2 linked regions of the Danio rerio genome follow. The protein of the gene in region 2 interacts with the protein of the main gene of each other region in a pairwise test. Links are inferred from orthologs where the notes say so. Each region holds a gene or a part of one and is shown on either strand. Other genes may lie near its edges. The genes, in order: rbm41 and RNA-binding Raly-like protein.

Region 1 (9,678 bases), on a different chromosome or scaffold from region 2:
AAACTTCATGAGGAGATTGTCAATTTAGGGGATCTAAAATCTACAAATACAGCGTTTGAACTTAGCCGAGTTATTTCGGAGTGCTAAGCCTTATTACCAACAGCACACATTTCATTTAAGCTTATTGGTGCAGCCGCCGATCAGAGCTTTGTTTTGTTTCAATTCTTAAATTCCGTTATCATAAAAAATATAGTAGTGAAACTTATGCAGGTCAAATATTATTTGTGCAGCCTTAGTGGTTATATAGCAGTTGTTGTTTTGCATAATTAGCTCTTTATTAACACCATGGACTAATGTTTTGTTTGTAACATTAGCATTTATTATTACAATATTATAATAGCAATTGTGATATAATAAACAATTAACTTTTTCACGTTGTTGACAAAATACAGTTTTAAATGTATTAAATTAATTAATTAATTATTTTTTGACTGCGATTTAATTTGCATGTATTCTCCAAAGCAATGAATTGATTGTTTTCCATATGCTACATTCTATCCCTTTTCTGACTACTCACTGTATTTATATGAAATAGTTACAATACTGGTCTGTGGATCGTCAATTGTAAATTAAATTTTTAGAAATAATCAATAGCGTTTGTGATATCAAAACTTTTATCGAAACAAAAATAACAGTTAGTCAGTTTATTTCTATTAAAATCATTTGATTAGCCTATAATAACATGATTATTTGATTAACATGACAAGAAATTAGCTTACCATTTAAACAATATGGTACTACACTGTGTAACATTGAAAACAGAAAAGCCACAAAAACACTTATGAAGTATTATGTAAATATAATTTAAATAATAAAATGTTTTTCTTATTATTATCTTAGCTATTTATTTATTTTTACCCCTAGCATCTATTTATACTTTGATAGTATTGTTAATATAATATTTTGTTTTATTTGTTCTTAATTGTTGTGAGATGTAGATGTTTGTATTAAGTTTGTACATATTTACAATAAATTAAAAATGATTATTTGATTAACATGCTTGATAAACGTCAACATAGATGTTTTTTCCAATTTGTAAATGCCAGAGCAAGTACATTTCAGAACAAGATAAGTGATAGTCAAATTTGTGCTAAAATGTTTTTAATTAATGTAATGTATGACCCTGCAGATACATTCAAGGGTACTACAGGAGGAGACGTGTCAATATGATGACCCTGACGTTCCAATACATGTGTATGTGCAACAAAAACAAACAAACAAACAAACAAACCACTTACACTAATGCACCCCCTCCCTTTCTCACTTGACATCATGGGATGTTCATGACAGTTTTATGTATAACTTACAGTCTACTGCTGTAACCTGCGTGGTATTAGCTGGAGCCTGACATTATTAGCCAAAACACTGACATCTCTTTATAACAGCGAAAGCCACGGAATACAAAACACAGAACTGAGAGGACCAACAAGCATAACAGAATGTCCTCATCACCCCATAAGAATAAAGGCTGCGGCCCCTTTAAGAAAGCAGCTAAGATGGTGTCTCTCCGGCGAGCTGCATTCGGCGCGCTTCCTTCCTGCCTTCACCGCTTTAAAACGGCACTGCAGACCCTCGACGGCTCTGACAGACGAGTCGCTCAATCTCTCCCTATCTGACTTTAACACTTTGCACAGCTGTTTTAAATGCGCCCGAGTCAACGTGTCAGGTTCGCGGATAAGTTAAGCACGGGCTCAGAGGCGCATGCACGGGAATCGCTCAGATGATATTATCGGCTCATTACGGTTAACGGCAGAGCAAACCGAAACCGGGTAACTGCTCACAGATGAGGAACTCCGGAGGAGTCCTGCAGAACAGAAAGCGAACAACCACAGCCGGCCAAAGCTATGCTGCAAATGTGTCGATTGCAAACGATAAACAGACTTACTTTTTTGTTCCGAGTCTCCGTGTGCATCTCGGTATCTAAGCGGCGGTGAAGGGGTGGAGTGGAGGGGGGGTCGGTCGGCTCGGGCGGGGTGAGATTTGAATAACAGTCAGTATTATCCGCCTCAGTATTAGAGAAGAAATGTGCGCTCGTTGGCTCGGAGGTTCACAGAAATCATATCCCTGGCGTCGAGAAACAAGCCCTCTTTCCGTCGCCCCGTTCGTCTTTCGGTGTGTGTTTGTTGCCGTGTTTCAGGGTTGGGCTCGAGCTGTGAGTCTCTCCTCCGCCTCTCCCTGCTGCTGACCCCACCCTGCGTCCCCACCCCTTCACTGTGTCAATCACAGCCGCTGCAAGTGTGTGTGTGTGTGTGTGTGTGTGTCAGCGCGCCACCACAATAATAGAAGTTCAGAAACATCATCATCATCACTTTGTCACCTCGCCTAATGACGTCAAGTTGCACCGGATGTTCGAAGTTGCTCGACTTTTTTTGGTCCTTTTTTGCATGTGTTACAGAGGTGATGATGCCTTATATGAGAATGACTAGTTTTTGGAGATAAAATTACCCCTAATTTGAGCAAAAGCAGACAAAAAAGACGTATTTTATTTATTGTTCTTAGTGTGTTTGTTCATATTGCATTATTCAGCATTTGTAGTACAGTTTTATATATATATATATATATATATATATATATATATATATATATATATATATATATATATATATATATATATATATATATTGCTGCTTGTTCGAACTACGTATTTAAAATGAGCTAAAACAACACAATTTTTGAGATTTTATGTGGGACAACTTGATCGTTTTATGTTCAATCCACTTAAATGTTTAGTTGACTTAATCTATTTGTGTTGGGATAACCTGAATGAATAGTGTGGAACCCTGTATCGGAAATAAATTGGATTTCGTAGGTATGTGTTTGGGTAAAAATATCGTTTTTTTTTTGTTTTTTTTTTGGAGCATTTTCCCCCATAAAATGGCAATTCATCTTTTTTTTGTTTTTTTTTTTGTTACTGAGAGGCAGGGTTATTCTACCTAATATATATATATATATATATATATATATATATATATATATATATATATATATATATATATATATATATATATATATATATATATTTACTTTTAAGTAGCAAAAAACATCAATGTGTTAACATAAATAGTCTATAAACATGTCTGAATATATCCCTTTTGTTATTTTGACCAAGTGGCGTTCGTTGTGTTTGTGTAAAAAAAACTTTTGTTTTGTTCTGCAAACTGATGGCATTTATTCCCAAATAAAAGTACAAATACTGTTAGAACATAATCATACATTTTAACAAATAACACTTTTATTTTGACTAGTTTAAAGTGTTTACTGAATGAAGCAATAATTAAAATGAAACATGGAAAACCTTGAGAAAAAATAGAAACAAAATTAAATAGCTGTTTATTACATAAACTGTCCAAATCACAGGGCAGCAACTCAATGCGTTAAGGCACGTGGTCAAGACAATCTGCAGAAGTTCAAACTGAGCATCTGAAGACGAAGAAAGATGAATAAAGAGACTTTGAGGGCATTGTTGTTAATGCAGGATGAGTATTTCAAAAACTGCTGGTATATAAAATATATATTTCACATAGAAATATGTCTTCAGTTTATAGAGAATAGTCGAGAAGAGTTTGGTGAGTGGCAGCAAAACTTTTCAGCTGATAGGAAGGCAAGGATTCACCAACAGTACGCAAGTTACAATGTAGCATATTGCAATGTAAAGGGTTACTATACAAACTACGCAGTAAATATATTTGTCGCACCATTACGGCTTACTTACAAAGCCAACTTTCAGCAATCATACCCTGAAGATTGGATGGTTGACTTATCCGACATTCAGGTGGAGGGTCATGAATGTATACAGTTATAATTTAGGATAAAGGCTTGAATGAATCTGCTTCTATAGACTGTGATGTTCAGTTGTTCTGAAACACATTTCCCATGGTCTTTTCTTTCCACTTAACTGGAAGTATTTGTGTAACGGGAAATATGAAGCTGGGACATATACGCGTTTATTTTCACCAGGACTGTAAGGGCTATAAATGAGTGATCATGTTAATATTTTTGTGGCTGCAATGTCAATATCACAACAGCTGCCATCATAGTGCTCGCTTTCTGAATCAACGCAAGATTTTACACTGTTTTTTGTGTTTGCTTGTTTTTGCTTTTTTGAGTAATAAACAAAAACAAATCCCTTTTAAATAAATTGGTTTAGTAATGGTTTCCTTTTGTTGGATAAACTGTGTAAATTGAAAGTACACAAATAAAAATCAATTAGTCCTAAACTCGTTTTTTTATTTTATTTATTTATTAATTAAACTGTTTAGCACATTTTAATAGTTTAGTTTAGTTCAATACATTTGAATAAAAGAAGGATGAAAATACTGTTAAGGTTTTTTTTTTTTTTTACAAAGATAGGCATTTGCAGAGCACCGCGAATGAGAGTCTTTGAGTTAAAACTACATTTCCCAAAATCCTCTCCGCCACAGCTTCTTTCCTGTCGGAACGGGAAATAGAGGGAAAGTGTAAACATGAAGCGGTAAGGAAGAGGACTAAACGGTATTTTTTGTTTTTAGTTTCGGTCTGAAGCCAGTAACAAAACTTGTCAAACCAAAACATTGACTTTCAATGAACTCTGATTTGAAAAATCCCATCACTAAGGTCTAGTCGATTACAGCCGTTAAGACTTATTGATGATGATAACACACATTGGTCGATAGGTTGAGTGGTAGTTAATTAAACGTACGACACGTTTTAATGTTGATCATAAATCATTGTTTTATTTAGTTTATCGTTATTGTATATCTTTTTTTGACCTGAGTGACGATGTAACCTCTACTTGCTGGCTTGTCTTGTCTTGTGTTCTGAATGTGAGAAGTTTGTGTAACAGTTAAACATTTTAATTTGTTGTAATGAAAGGAACGTATAACTATTCTTTCATATTTATTTAACTATTTTTATTAAATGATTTGACACATACTTTGGCCCAAATTGACCTAAAAATTACAATAGGGATAAAATATGTGAATAATGTAATAATCCGTAGTTGGTATAATGAAGTATGTTTATTCGTTTACACAAAAAAAGATCAATTAGAAAGCGACACGGTGGCTCAGTGCTTAGCACTGTCGCCACACAGCAAGAAGGTCGCTGGTTCCAGTTCCGACCTGGTCAGTCGCATTTCTGTGTGGAGTTTGCATGTTCTCCTCAAGTTTGCGTTGTTTTCTTCCGGGTGCTTCAGTTTCCCTCAGAGTCCAAATATATACGCCATAGTTGAATTGAATAAGCTAAATTGTCCGTAGTGTGTGTGTGTGTGTGAGAGAGAGAGAATGAGGTGTATAGGTGTTTCCCAGTACTGGGTTGCAGCTGGAATGGCAGTAAAATATACTGCATAAGTTGGCGGTTTATTCCGCTGTGGCAACCCCTGATGATTAAAGAGACTAAGACACAGGAATGTGATGAAATTAGCAAAATAGGAAGTGATCGTAATAAGTAATTAGATTTCTAATTTAAAAAAACAATGCAGATTTATTTTGACATTCTCATTAAATGACATACTATGCAGTTTTTATTTAATATTTATGTTTTAATAAGTTTAATTTTGGCTGTTTGCAGTATTATCTGCCAATTTTGAAAACTATCATAACAATGTAAAATGAACATAACTTTTTATCAGTGACAGCAAACAGAATAGATTGTTTTATCTTGAATTTGTTATATTTAATTAAATAAGTTTATTTAGCATTCCGTTTTTTTTTTCAACTGTTCATACAATATACTTCATGAACACTGGAGTGCAATAATTGGAGTAAGAGGAAAATTGTAACGCTAAACCATTAAAAGTGTAATTAAAATAAATATAGTTTAATTTGTCTCCTAGACTCACTGATGTGCTGTCTTTATGCTTAAAAAATATTTAGAATTATGAACATAAAACAAGCATTTGGGCTGAGGAGTTTAAAGAACTCAAAAATGATTTTGTAATTATTTATAGGGTTACTCGCCATGCCTGTGATGATGTGCCCATCCCTGAAGAACAGGAGACAGAAGGCCAGAGACAACTGCACAATCTGCTGCTGCAACAACTGGACACAGATGTTGACATTGACCGGTTAGTTCCTGATAAACTGGGCCAGACAAAATCTGTTGACTTTTTTTTTACTTTTGCTATTTCAGTAGAGAATTTTGTAAAAAAATAAATAAAAATCTGTCACTTTTAATTCGACTTTACTTGCAAATTAGGTAGATTTCACATTAATTTTGAGTTTTAACATTTTTTAATAAATTCAGTGGATTTCCAGGTCTGGCTGGAGCACATTTAGCTTAGCTTAGCATAAATCATTAAGTCAGATTAGACCATTAGCATCTTTTTTTTTTTTGCATTTTTGATTGAGATGCTAATGGTCTAACCTGGTATGATTTATGCTAAGCTAAGCTAAGCTAAAAGTGCTCCCAACAGACATGGCAATCGGCTGATTGGATAAAAAATGGTAAAACTCAACTGTTTAACTGTAGGGGACTTGCTTAGGGGTAAAATGAGCTTATTTTCAAAAATAGTTTAGTGTTCCTTTAAGGTTAACATGCCAGGATAATATACATTTACAAGCTTTTGCTTCAAAATTACCATTTCAAATCCTGGGTGTTGAAAATAGACAACAGAAAAAATGTAAAGTTTGTTAAACTACTATCAAGCTATCAAATATGGCAGAGGGAGTATCTCAGATTGTTGAGATACTCCCTCTGCAATCTTGTCCTCATATTTGCTATTAACTTTCTGTAAAAAGAAATTCAAGCTAAAACATTTTAATATTATTCAAAGCACAACATTTGCCTGTTTTTTCTGTTCATTATAGGTCATGGACATTAATATTCACCTGTTTATTTGTCATAGGTGTGTGGCTAAGAAGAAATGCTTTGCTCCAGCTGCGGTGTACAAGCCGTTTGGGGAACAGGCCGCTGGTGTGAGGAGTCTGTCTCAGTTTCAGGCCCTGCAGGACGGAGATCAGGAGCTGGCGGCTCTCAGAGAACTGGGCCTAACTGATGCTGAAATACTGCTGTGGAGGAGCAGGGAGCAGCCGGAGAGCTCCCTCAAGGTCTGCTTTAGCTATTACCCTTATCATGAAGTGTCCTAAACAGAGGGATTTTACATTTCCAGAAATCTGACATGAAGAATGGTAGCTGTTGGTCAGAGAATGATTCAGACAGTGTTAGTTTAGTATCATTGTAACATTATTTTGGTATCATTATCATCAGTTTTTAATTACAGAAATATTATTATCTTATGTTTTCTTTTTAATCCTATATTTTTATTAATTTAGCTGCTTTTTAAAATTATTTTCTAAATTAATCATTTATTATTTATTTTTATTTATATATATATATATTTTATATTTTTATTTTATATTCATAAATATAAAAAATGATTCATTTATTTAATTATTTCTAAATAAAAATATTTAAAATTTATATATATTTTTTGTTAATATTAAAAAAAATATCTATATGATTTTAAAAAAATTGTATTTAATTTTGAAATAAAATGTATTTTTTTAATGTTCATTTGTTTCAGTGAATATCTATTTTGTTTTAAGGAACATGAGGGGCATTTATTAATACACACAATGTTTTTAACCTGTTATGTTAGTTTTGGGTGACTGAAAATACAAACTTTTGAAAAACAAAATAATGAAAAAGTTTAAATGGAAAGTTTAATTGTAATTTTTAGTACTTTTGCTGTGTTTTGTCATATTTATTTATAATTTATAACCAAAAAAAGAGCAATATTTTGTTGGCAGTTACATTAAATTGTTATTTTATTTTTTAGCTGACATTTATGCTTTTTCAAGTTAAATAGAGTTATAATAGCATTAGGAGTCTTAACACAACACTGTTGTGAAATTGAAACAGAAAAAAAAAAAATTTCATTTACACCACCACAGCATTATGGATCCTGAAAATGCAAACTTCAAAAAAAAAAAAAAGAAAAGAAAATATTTTGTAGTGATGGTTTAATTATAGGTGCATGTTATACATTTAAAATCAGAATTATTAAAACCCCTTTGTGTTTTACTTATTAATTTATTTATTTCATTTTTAAATATTTCCCAAATGATGTTTAACAGAGCAAGGACATTTTCACAGTATGTCTGATAGTATTTTTTCTTTTGGAGAAAGTGTTATTTGTTTTAGAACTGCTAAAATAAAAGCAGTTTTTAACATTTTGAAGATAAAAAAACAAAAAATGGCAAAAGATGGCAAAGATAAAATAAATCAGTTATCAGAAATGAGTTATTAAAACTATTATGTTTAAAAATGTGTTGAAAAAAATATCTCGGTTAAACAGGAATTGAGGAAAAAAACAACTCGGTTAAACAGGAAGGGCTAATAATTCTGACTTCAACTGTATCCAGGTTTAACTTTATAATGAAGAGTAGGGCTGTGAGATTATTTTGGAATTGTATCAATGCATGCTCCTGACTGATACTTCTCTCACAGTGTGCTATTTGAAGCAATCATAACGCAGCAGGACTAGAACAGGAGCATTAGAACAGGAGACTGAGCTTAATGACAAGGTTTGAGTTTGACGGCACTTTATGGCGTAGAGACAATTTGTTACACATTTACTAGGTGATTTTTATTATTTTTTGTCTTATTTATGTTTTTAAGACATGTTACAGGACTTAAAAAACTTAAAAAATTTTATGATTATTATAAAATTATTTCCTTTGGAAATATCTTTCATAGTCACACTGTAAATCGCAGAATTCTCAGTGATGCAATGTCTGACACAATGCACTTAATTGAGCCAGTCACGTCACTGTGAGAAGTAGGATTAGGCGAGTCCATTAAAAAGCACTGCATCCAGACCACTCTCGAAAATGCAGACTTTTTGAAAACATTTTCAAAGTGAATGTTTTTGCAAAACTATTCAATCATTATCTCTGAAGCAACACACAAGTTCTTTACAACCAAATCAACAATGTTCAGATTACAGTAGCGCATGTGTTTGTAGGTTGTATGCAGGCTGTTTGCAGATCCATCTGAAAGTGGAACATTTTAAAAACATTGTCATTTATTTGTGAAGCCCGAAAGAAATATTCAGCTATTTAGTTCATCATTGCTTAAACTCCTAGTTTTCTTTAACTTTAATAACTTGGACCCGCTTTCTTGTTTTTCTCAGGACAGAGGGGTTTGTGTGGCCCCTGAGGCGAGGAATGAGCGTCTGCAGGCCATCCGGGATAAAATGGCAGCTCATGCGGAGCTGCTGTCCCGACCCCAGCGCTTCTCAAGCAGTCGAGCGCTGTCCCGCAGAGAGATGGAAATCGAGAAAGCTCTTTTTCAAGGCAGCGACCGCTCCAGCTTCCTCACTGCCCTTTACCATCAAGGTGAAACACACTATAGTAATGCCAAGTAGCTTTACTTTTACAGTGTTCTCTACTAATATTGACAAAAATGAGCTGAAAAAACTGTTCGTTAACCTTTTAATGTTTAGCTCAAAAATATTAACAAAAAAGTCTGTTCATTTTATGGCTGCACGATGCTGAAAAAATAGGGATGTTGTTGAATATTGTGAAAATTATATTTATTTCAATATAACATTTCCCTATAAAAATGTTAATTTTATAAGTTTTTATATCCTTTATTGAATAATATAAAAAAAAAAACAGGTAAAAGATATTCTTCAGCTCTAGCTATTTCTGTTTCAGACTAAAACAAATTGTGTCAAGGTCCAAACATTTAGTCATT
Region 2 (9,731 bases):
TATTTCACAATATTGACCAACCCACAAAGCTACCTGAAAACCAATGGGTAAGTGTACTAAAAGTTTTAAAGGCAAAGTGTGGTCATACCAAATGTTGATTTATTGCAGTTAATATCAGTTAACTGATAAATAAAAGGTATATATGCATAATTTTTGAAAGCATTTTGCCTCATTTTACAGGATTTTTACACAAGTGCAGGTAGTTTTTTTTTTTTTTAACATCTCTGAGATGTTGCCAAAGTTCTTCTGGATTTAGTTGTCTCAGTTTATTCTGTTTCTTCTCTGTATTCTGTGTGGAGCACTGGCTGTTGTCAGACAATAACATCACTGTTGAATCACAATTAATGACATGGGAAAGTAATGTCTGGAAAGAGCAACATATTGGCTTATTGGTTAGCACTGTCACCTCTCAGCAAGAAGGTTGTTGGTTCAAGTCCCAGCTGGGACAGTTGGCACTTCTGTGTGGAGTTTGCATGTTCTCCCCGTGTTGGCGTGGGTTTCCTCTGGGTGCTCCGGTTTTCCCCATAGTCACAGACATATGCTATAGGCGAATTAAATAAACGTAATTGGCCATAATGTATGCGTGTAAGAGAGAGTGTATGGGTGTTTCCCAATACTGGGTTGCTGCCAAAAATGCATCATATGCTGGATAAGTTGGCGGTTCATTCCACTATGGTGACCCTGATGAAGAAAATAAATGAAGGATGTTTGGAAATGTAAATTGGTACTTCAGTCAAATAAATAAAACAAATTTTTTATTTTCAGGTCAAATAAAATATATCAAAGATATTATGGTATCTATAAAACTGCCCATGAAACCAGAAATGTTTATTTTGGAAATCACTTGTGAAAATATTGATTGCCACAGGAGCACTCGTAAACTTATCGATGCAAGTATACTCCAAGCAGAGCACCTAATAGCTTTGTACTAAAGGAAAATGGAAAGGCCATTTATTGTACAGTGGATCATAATACATCCTTCTGTTTAACAATAGAAAAGATTTCATACATGTTAAAAGGCAAACTCACAGTTTTTTTGAGAAAACATGAACACCCGTTTTATTTCTTATTTCAAATTCATTCATTTTCTTTTCAGCTTCGTCCCTTTATTAATCTGGGGTCACCACAGCAGAATGAACCGCCAACTTGTCCTGCATATGTTTTATGCAGCAGATGCCCTTTCAGCTATAACCCATCTCTGGGAAACATCTATACACACTTATTCACTACGGACAAGTAAGCCTACCCAATTCACCTATACCACATGTCTTTGGACTGTAGGGGAAACTGGAGCACCCAGAGGAAACCCATGCAACGCAGGAAGAACATGCAAACTCCTTACAGAAATGCCAACTGACCCAGCCGATGCCTAAATCAGCGACCTTCTTGCTGTGAGGCGACAGCACTACCTATTTTGCCACTGCATTGCTCAAATTTCAGCAATTTATTAAATGAAACAGGAAACGACAAAATAAACTGATCTACATAGTCTCCCTTTTTCCAAAAACGTATTTAAACAAGCCGTTGTCATATTGATGATCTACTGATGACCAACAATTTCTACCTATTTTTTCTAGAATAATTTGTTACGAATTTAAACAACCTGTGCCCTCCCTTCTTTTGACCCTCTTTTTTAAGTTTTGTATGTTTTTTATTATTATTGCTGTTGTTTTTGTCCTATAAATTTAAAACAAAGATGTAAATATGATAGCGATGTTATATTGTCATTTTTTATTACATCTCAATAAAAATAATATATACATACATACATACATACATACATACATACATACATACATATATATATATATATATATATAAATATATACACACACACACACACACACACACACACACACACACACACACACACACATATATATATGCAACTACTTAATCCAATAAAAATTATGAAAACAACTATCTATTAAAAGTCTAAAAATATACACATATCCAACGTTTCATCAATATCATGATAACCAGAAAATAAAAACCAGAAGTGAAAGTGATATTTGCATGAGCAGGTGATTCTGTTTTTATCAGAGAAGAGAGCAGAAGCAGCAGCAGATGTTCACTGGCCCAAAGGGAGAGCAATTTTTACTTTCATAAATAAATGATGCATGTGACTCCTACATACCGGCCAGCGGGACTCAGATACGGCTTCATTTCCCCAGAGAGAGCAGGACCAATGGGAAGCATCAGGACTTCTTGGCTTTGTGGGATTTTGTCATGGTTTACTCTGCGGACATTCAATTCTCCTGCATTATTTGAAGAGCTTCTGGCTGGTTTTGCGGATGAACAGATTATTCAGCTCACTTTCTGCAGCCCTCGGTCACTGCTGGCATGTTCTCTACACAGGCATTGAGCAGAAAAATGCAGGTTATGGAGCTGCCCAAAAATATCAACAGAAAAATTACAGAAAAACTAGAGTAAAGAACAGAATGTAGTTCCAGTCATCAGTCTACTAGCACAAAGGTTAAAATTATTAAACTGGAAACAGAACATTGCTCCTACATATATACATCTAATGAGGGATGTAATCAGACATATGAAACTGGAGAAAATCAATCAGATTCTCCTTTAAAAAGAAAGAAAAATTCTATAAAATCTGGCAACCTTTTCATAGATTATCTTTAAAACATAAATGCTACAGGTAATAGTTAAATTAAAGAGGATTAGGCTAATTAAGATTAAAACTGAATGTCAGTATTTATCTGTATTTCATTTTCTTAGTATTATTTTATTAATTACTTAGTTATCTTTAATTATTTTACTTTATGTATTGTTTGTATATTGTATCTTTTCTATTGTTAATTGTTATGTAAATGTTATATTAAAATAAAATTAAGTGCATTTAGAATCAGGATTATCTGTCAAGGTTTATAATGAATGTGTGTAAAATAAGTTTCATGTATCATATAAAGTATTATTTTACTCTCAGAAAATGCAATTGCTGTTGTGTAGTTTTTATTAATAGTTTGTTCATGTATTTATTTACTGTTTACGTTTTGTAATAAAAAATAAAAATCAGTCAGAGTTTTAAAGCAGACTAAATGAAATGAAAATATGTCTCTGGCAACTAGCTAAAATATTTATTTGGTTTTGTATGCTTTATTAATGAGCTGTTCCTCCTGATAAAACATTTTTACTCTAAATTTAAAACCTCTATTTTATTAAACACTCAAATTGTTATTTTATTTAGAGCAACTTTAAATATACATCAACAAGATTATTCTTTCAAAACAGATAAAACGTTTTACTTAAATTATATATTAATACTAAACAGCAGCACTGATAATTAATAAAACTACTTTTATTTATGAAAATTAAAATAAACGTTATTGAGGAGTTTCTACTGATACAATATTTTACTCTAAAACATCTTATTTATTAAACACTCACATTTTTAGTTTTTTATATGTATATATATATATATATATATATATATATATATATATATATATATATATATATATATATATTTTTTTTTTTTTTTTTTTTTTTTTTTTATACCCCTTATTTTAATTATTATACCCCTGAATTATTAGCCCAATGTTTTTCCACAATTTCTATCAAACGAAGAGAAGATTTATTTCAACACATTTCTAAACATGATCGTTTTTATCTTAAATAACCAATTTATTTTATCTTTGCCATGATGACAGTAAATAATATTTTACTAGATATTTTTAAGAAATTTCTGTACAGCTTAAAGTGACATTTAAAGGCTTAACTAGGCTAATTATTAGGTTAATTAGGCAAGTTTGGATAATTAGGCAAGTTTTTGTATAACGATTCAGTAGACTATCCGGGGGGGAAATTAATATAAAGGGGCTAATGATATTGACCTTAAAATGTTTTTTTTTTATTATTATTAAAAACTGCTTTTATTCTAGTCGAAACAAAACAAAGAATACTTTCTCCAGAAGAAAAAAAATATTATCAGACATGCAGTGAAAATGACCTTGCTCTGACAAACATCATTAGAAAAATATTTTAAAAGAAAATAAATTCAAAGCGGGGGGCGAATAATTCTGACTTCAACTGTATATATAAAAATTACAATACTTTCAAAAGAAATTACAAGTTATACATATGTATTACACAAAACAAAATATACAATAACACTTAAAAGCAGCATTAACAATAAATAAAACTATTTTTATTTATGACATTATTTCTTTTTTTATATTATTTTTTAAAACTTCCTGATCAAATATTTTACTCAAAAACATCTTATTTATTAAACACTCACATTTTAATTTATTTATAGCAAATTCTAATATACATTTAAAAAGATGGCACTTTCAAAAGAAATAAAAAAAAGTTTAACATAAAATACTTAACCGGAGCATAAAACTACTTTTATTCATGATTATTGAAATAACGTTGTATCCTAGTTACCGAATCTTTATACTGAACTTGATTAATAAATTACATTTTCTTTCTTTTAATAAATATATATATTTTTTAATCAATTAATTTAAAATTGTGTGTATACTGCATACTATGACAAAAAACAAGTTGTATAATAACAGAAAATTGTTAGCCATGTAGAAAAACACAATAATGAATGCTTACATCATACAACTTTATTCATTGATTTATTTTGTATAGCAATAACGAAATACAATTTATATTTACATTTTTTTTTCATATTTCGTTCATTTTCATAGATCCAATTCAATCATATTGCACTTTAGTAGCAAATCTTCCCTTCTCCTACATTATTCTTTATATTAAGACATAATGCTGGGGTAATGTTATACAAATTTTAAAATATAGATTTACGCTATATAAAGCGTTTGAGAAGTCATACATTTTATTTGCCAATTTCTATCTTTCCGGTCTTTTTTCTTCATAGGAACAGTGCATTTGCATTGAAACTGTAGTGTTGACTATAAAACACTGTGACCACTTTAACCTCATGACATGCTCAAAATAAAACCAAGACAACAAAATGGCATTTTTCACCTTCCTCACTATCTTTCTTTGGTCGCTGACTCGTTCAGCTCAAGGTAACTTCTCATCTCTTAGCAGAATTACTTTTAATGTTCAGTACTTTTTAATAATATATCTTAATAAATAATTTCTTTAACAGACTCCAGTCTTCCTCAAGCAAAAGTGACTCAAAGCCCTTCAGAGAAGACTATTGAAGCAGGGCAATCAGTTACATTAACATGTAGCTCTAATCTTGTTGTTGGTAAATGGTGCAATGATACATACTGTCTTAGCTGGTACCTCATAAAAGCTGGAGAAGCTCCCAAACTCCTCATCTATCAAGGAAATCTCCGGCATTCCTCTGCTCCATCCCGGTTTAGTGGAAATGGGTCCGTTAGAAGTTTCCAGCTGACCATAAGTGGAGCACGAGGTGAAGATTCAGGGCTTTATTTTTGCTTCGGTGACTATGGTGGCTTTAGATTCACACAGTGAAATAGAGCCGTACAAAAACCAGCTGTGACAGAAAGTGAACCAGGTCAATAACAACACACTACTACACACATCAGTGGAGATTAAGAGAAGCAAAACAATAACAGAAAGCTGGACTAAGTTTTCTTTCAAACAACATAAAACAATGCCTAGAACATATTTGAATCATAATTTATAGTGTCTTAGTGTATACAAATATAATACACTTAAACATGCCTTAAAGGGACTTTGGTGTTTACTAGTGATTTTAACCATACTGTAAACTTCACATATTATTTACAACTCTTTATTGAATGTTATAATTAAACCCCATGATGAACAGTAATAAATAGTGTAGATTCTACTACCATTAAAATGTGGTTTATTGTAGTATTAAATATAACTGTCAGGATAGTTTGTTTATATTAGCCTAACAGTTACTGGTTGTTTTAGTACCACAGCTAATTAACGTTACCACAACAGATTACTTCAAAATACTTTACTTTTTGTGGTTCAAACACACTGTAGTATTTACAATAAATCACTATAGTATTTTTTCACAAGGGTTGAAAGCTGTTTGGGAGGATAACAATGCATTACAAAGCAAAAAAACACGAAGTGTGCTGGAATACTGAACAAATTGATATATCAATGATTTAAATACAGGCGAGTCTATTAATTATCTACCTCCAGCCGTTACTTACCTCATGTAGTTGACATTGCCGATTCAGTTTATTGTCATTTTCCCGCTGTGCACAATGTTTTTTACTCTTCAACATTGTCGTGTTAGTTTGTCGCCATCGAATATTTGAAACATAACGTGCGTTTTTTCACTGCGGCGTCGTGACGCAAACCGTAGCCTCGCACTATGTCAGCTGTGTTTAAAAATTAGAGGTGTCCAAACTCGTTCCTGGATGGCCAATGTCCAGCAAAGTTTAGTTCGAACCCTAATCAGACACACCTGGGGCTGTTTCATAAAAGTCGTTTAGAATAGCGGGGATTAAAGTCAAAAGCCTGACTTCAATGAGCCGAACTAAATGTCCACTCCACTCTTAAATTGGTTCCATAACAGCAAGTTGAAGATCATTTGATCTGACTAGTCTGAGTTCAGTTTAATCTATCTAGATCAGGGGTTCCCAAACTTTTCAGCCCGCGACCCCAAAAATAATCATATCAGTGGCTCGCGACCCCCATTTTTCAAGGTGGTGTAAATATGTAAACGTTGCAGACACAACTATAGGCAAATACAGGGCCGGAGTGGGACACCTTTTCAGCTCTGGAATTTCAAGCCTCAGACCGGCCCACCTCAGTTCACGACTGACTGTATTAAAATAAGTAAATAAATAAATATTTCCAAATCAGTTTCTAATGACACTATCACTTCTTTTTTTTTTTTTTGAGAAAACAGCTGCTTTAGAACTTCAAATGTTCAACAATCATTATATGTCTTATCAATAAAAATGAAAACACTAAATCACTCTAACGAGAATCGAACCCAGGTCCGCAGCGTTTAAATCTAACGTACTATCCGCTCGACCACAACTACTGTTTTATGGATGATGACACAACTGAGTTTTATTATCCTTGAAATAGATCAAAAGAGAAGAGTTGCGGTATAATAATGAATAAAAAGGCTGTGGTCAAGTAAATAAATAAATTTAAAAAGTGTGATTGCTGAGAGCAACAGATTCTAGAGCTAGGGACACCGGCCCTCGCGGCCAAAAAACGGACCGGCCCACCGGGAATTCTCCCGGTCCTCCCGATTAGCCAATCCGGGCCTGGGCAAATATAAACATGAGCTTATTGACAACACAAAAATGCAACAGTCTATTAGCCATATAATGTTTTTTAAAGTCATTTATGGATTTAATTACATTTTGCTTTTAAAATTAAAGGCTGATGGCTAAATGTTTTTTTATGTTGTTGTTTCTTGAATGCAACTATTAACTATATTCTGTCGTTTATGAATAAAATATGGTAATTCTGATAGTTTAATAAAATTTATTTTAGTTTTGGATATCACCAAGCGACCCCTTGTCATTGTCCCGCGACCCCCCAGGGGGTCCCGACCCCCACTTTGAGAACCACTGATCTAGATAACTGCTCACGCACGTTACTGCACGTAGCCAGCCTGGTGAAAGGAGATCTTTTTTTCTCAAAAAGTGGACCTTTTTGCAGTTATACGCCTCAGTTTCTGTTTAAATACTGCATTTTAGTGAATATTTATTAATTAATTAATTTATTTATTTCTTTTTGCTGGATTAACTAGTCAGATCTCATCATAACTACACTTTTGATGTACTAAAAATATTTCCAAAAAATTGCAATAAACATTTAAAACAAGTCTAATTTTTAAAATACAAATTTATTACATCATATATCATTAGAAAAGAATAGCAATCTGTTGAAGTTTTAAAGTAAAAAATGTGTAGCCTACTATCAAACACACCTGAATCAGCTTCTCAGAACATTAATAGAGACTTGAAAACCTGAAATGAATGGGTCAGATAAGGGAGATGTTCAAAATATGTCCTGTTGGTGTGCCTCCAGGAACAGGGTTGGGAAACACTGCTGTAAAATATCATCAATAAGATGATTAAATCTGACAAAATGAGTTACAGAAATAACAGAGTCATTCATTTCATAGCCTTTATTGAGTTTTAAATGCTCATGCCAATCTGTGTTTCCCAGAGAAATGCACATTTTAATACATTACAGAATAAAAACATATCCAAAACCACATAGTTGGTTAGCTGTTTGACTAAGCAGGCTTACATGATTTTGAATAAAATGAGTGTGTTTGATACTATTCTCAATTAAACACTGGTAAATAGTAACATTAATATTAAGGCAATACATTCCTGTTAATGTTTCTTGCAAAACACTTAAACTGTATATTAAGACATTCTTGTGATAGCTGACATGGAGACTGCAGAGAAAATGACAATCATATTGATTATTAAACGGGCATAACAATATCAGTTAAAGCAATTTCTTTTGTAATATACATTTGGAAGAAAGCATTTTGGGAAAACTATATACTCTCCAAAAACTGTACAGCCTAGCTGACTCTTCAGTCCAATCCTGACATTCATTCATTCACAGCCCTGAAGAACAGCCCTTCCAGCCACAACCCATCCCTGGGAAACATTCACACACACTCATTCACACTCATACACTGGGGTCAATTTAGCCTACCCAATTCTCCTGTACAGCATGTCTTTGCAGGAAACCCACGTGAACGCAGGGAGGACATGCAAACTCCACACAGAAACGCCAACTGAGCCGAGGCTCGAACCAGCGACCTTCTTGCTGTGAGGTGACAGCACTACCTACTGCACCGCCTCCAATCCTGACATATTACTGCAAATTTTATACTTCCCTCAGGACAGAAACATTATCTACACAAGTAAAACAGTGTAAATGCTAGTGCTTAGCTAGCATAATGCTAGCTTTAAACATGTTTAGCAGGTTATCTGAATAACAACACACTGGGGGTTTTCTGATATCGTTTGCATTGAGTACAGAGGTTGTTTAATGCCACAATAAGGGAAAAAAGCTAATTAATATTACTTTCATAGCAATTCGTAATTAAATATTTGAAGAAAAATTTTTGGTAAAAACTTGTATAACCTTATTTACATGTATTCGCAAGATATACTGACTTTACGGCTAGGTTTGACTAGGGATGAACAATCAGAATATTTCATAGTACAAGAAACTCATTCATTCATTCAATCATTTATTTTCTTTTCGGCTTAATCCACAGTGGAATGAACCGCCAACTTATCCAGCATATGTTTTACGCAGCAGATGCCCTTCCAGCTGCAACCAAGTACTGGAAAACATCCATACACACTCAATCACACTTATACACTATGGCCAATTTTAGCCGACCCAATTCACCTGTACCGCATGTCTTTGGACTGTGGGGGAAACCGGAGCACTCGGAGGAAACCCACTGGAACGCAGGGAGAACATGCAAACTCCACACAGAAATGCCAACTGACCCATCCAAGTTTCCCTTACAGTCCAAACACATGCACTATAGGTCAATTGGCAGTAGTGTATGTGTGTGAATGAGTGTGTATGGATGTTTCCCAGTACTTGGTTGCAGCTGGAAGGGCATCTGCTGTGTATGCTGGATAAGTTGGTGGTTCATTCCGCTGTGACGACCCCTGATGAGCAAAGGGACTAAGCCGAAGAAAATGAATGAATGAATGAGCAATATAATGCCTCTTCATTTACTGCTACAAACTGATAAAGGCCAGGTGCCAATGCAATCCCACTAATGCCAACACAATTCTTGAGCCTATACCCAA

The links.
Region 1: the proteins of RNA-binding Raly-like protein (region 2) and rbm41 interact in binary tests that used the Homo sapiens proteins (3 or more experiments, as listed by UniProt). The two-hybrid records come from large-scale screens. The link is inferred for Danio rerio from reciprocal best matches to the Homo sapiens genes RALYL and RBM41.

The regions. Positions count from the first base shown.
Region 1 is NC_133196.1:41,328,997-41,338,674, reverse strand, and holds the start of rbm41 (RNA-binding protein 41), read left to right. Parts: upstream 1-4,422; 5' UTR 4,423-4,463; coding exon 4,464-4,471; exon of another isoform or gene 4,472-4,491; intron 4,492-5,925; exon of another isoform or gene 5,926-5,926; coding exon 5,927-6,043; intron 6,044-6,823; coding exon 6,824-7,025; exon of another isoform or gene 7,026-7,096; coding exon of another isoform or gene 7,097-7,136; intron 7,137-9,065; coding exon of another isoform or gene 9,066-9,112; coding exon 9,113-9,317; intron 9,318-9,678. Other genes in the region: klf8 (Krueppel-like factor 8), read right to left, coding at 1,886-1,912. UniProt on the Homo sapiens protein: May bind RNA.
Region 2 is NC_133199.1:37,374,401-37,384,131, forward strand, and holds the start of RNA-binding Raly-like protein, read right to left. Parts: upstream 6,267-9,731; 5' UTR 6,114-6,266; intron 5,456-6,113; 5' UTR 5,242-5,455; intron 2,351-5,241; 5' UTR 2,138-2,350; intron 1-2,137.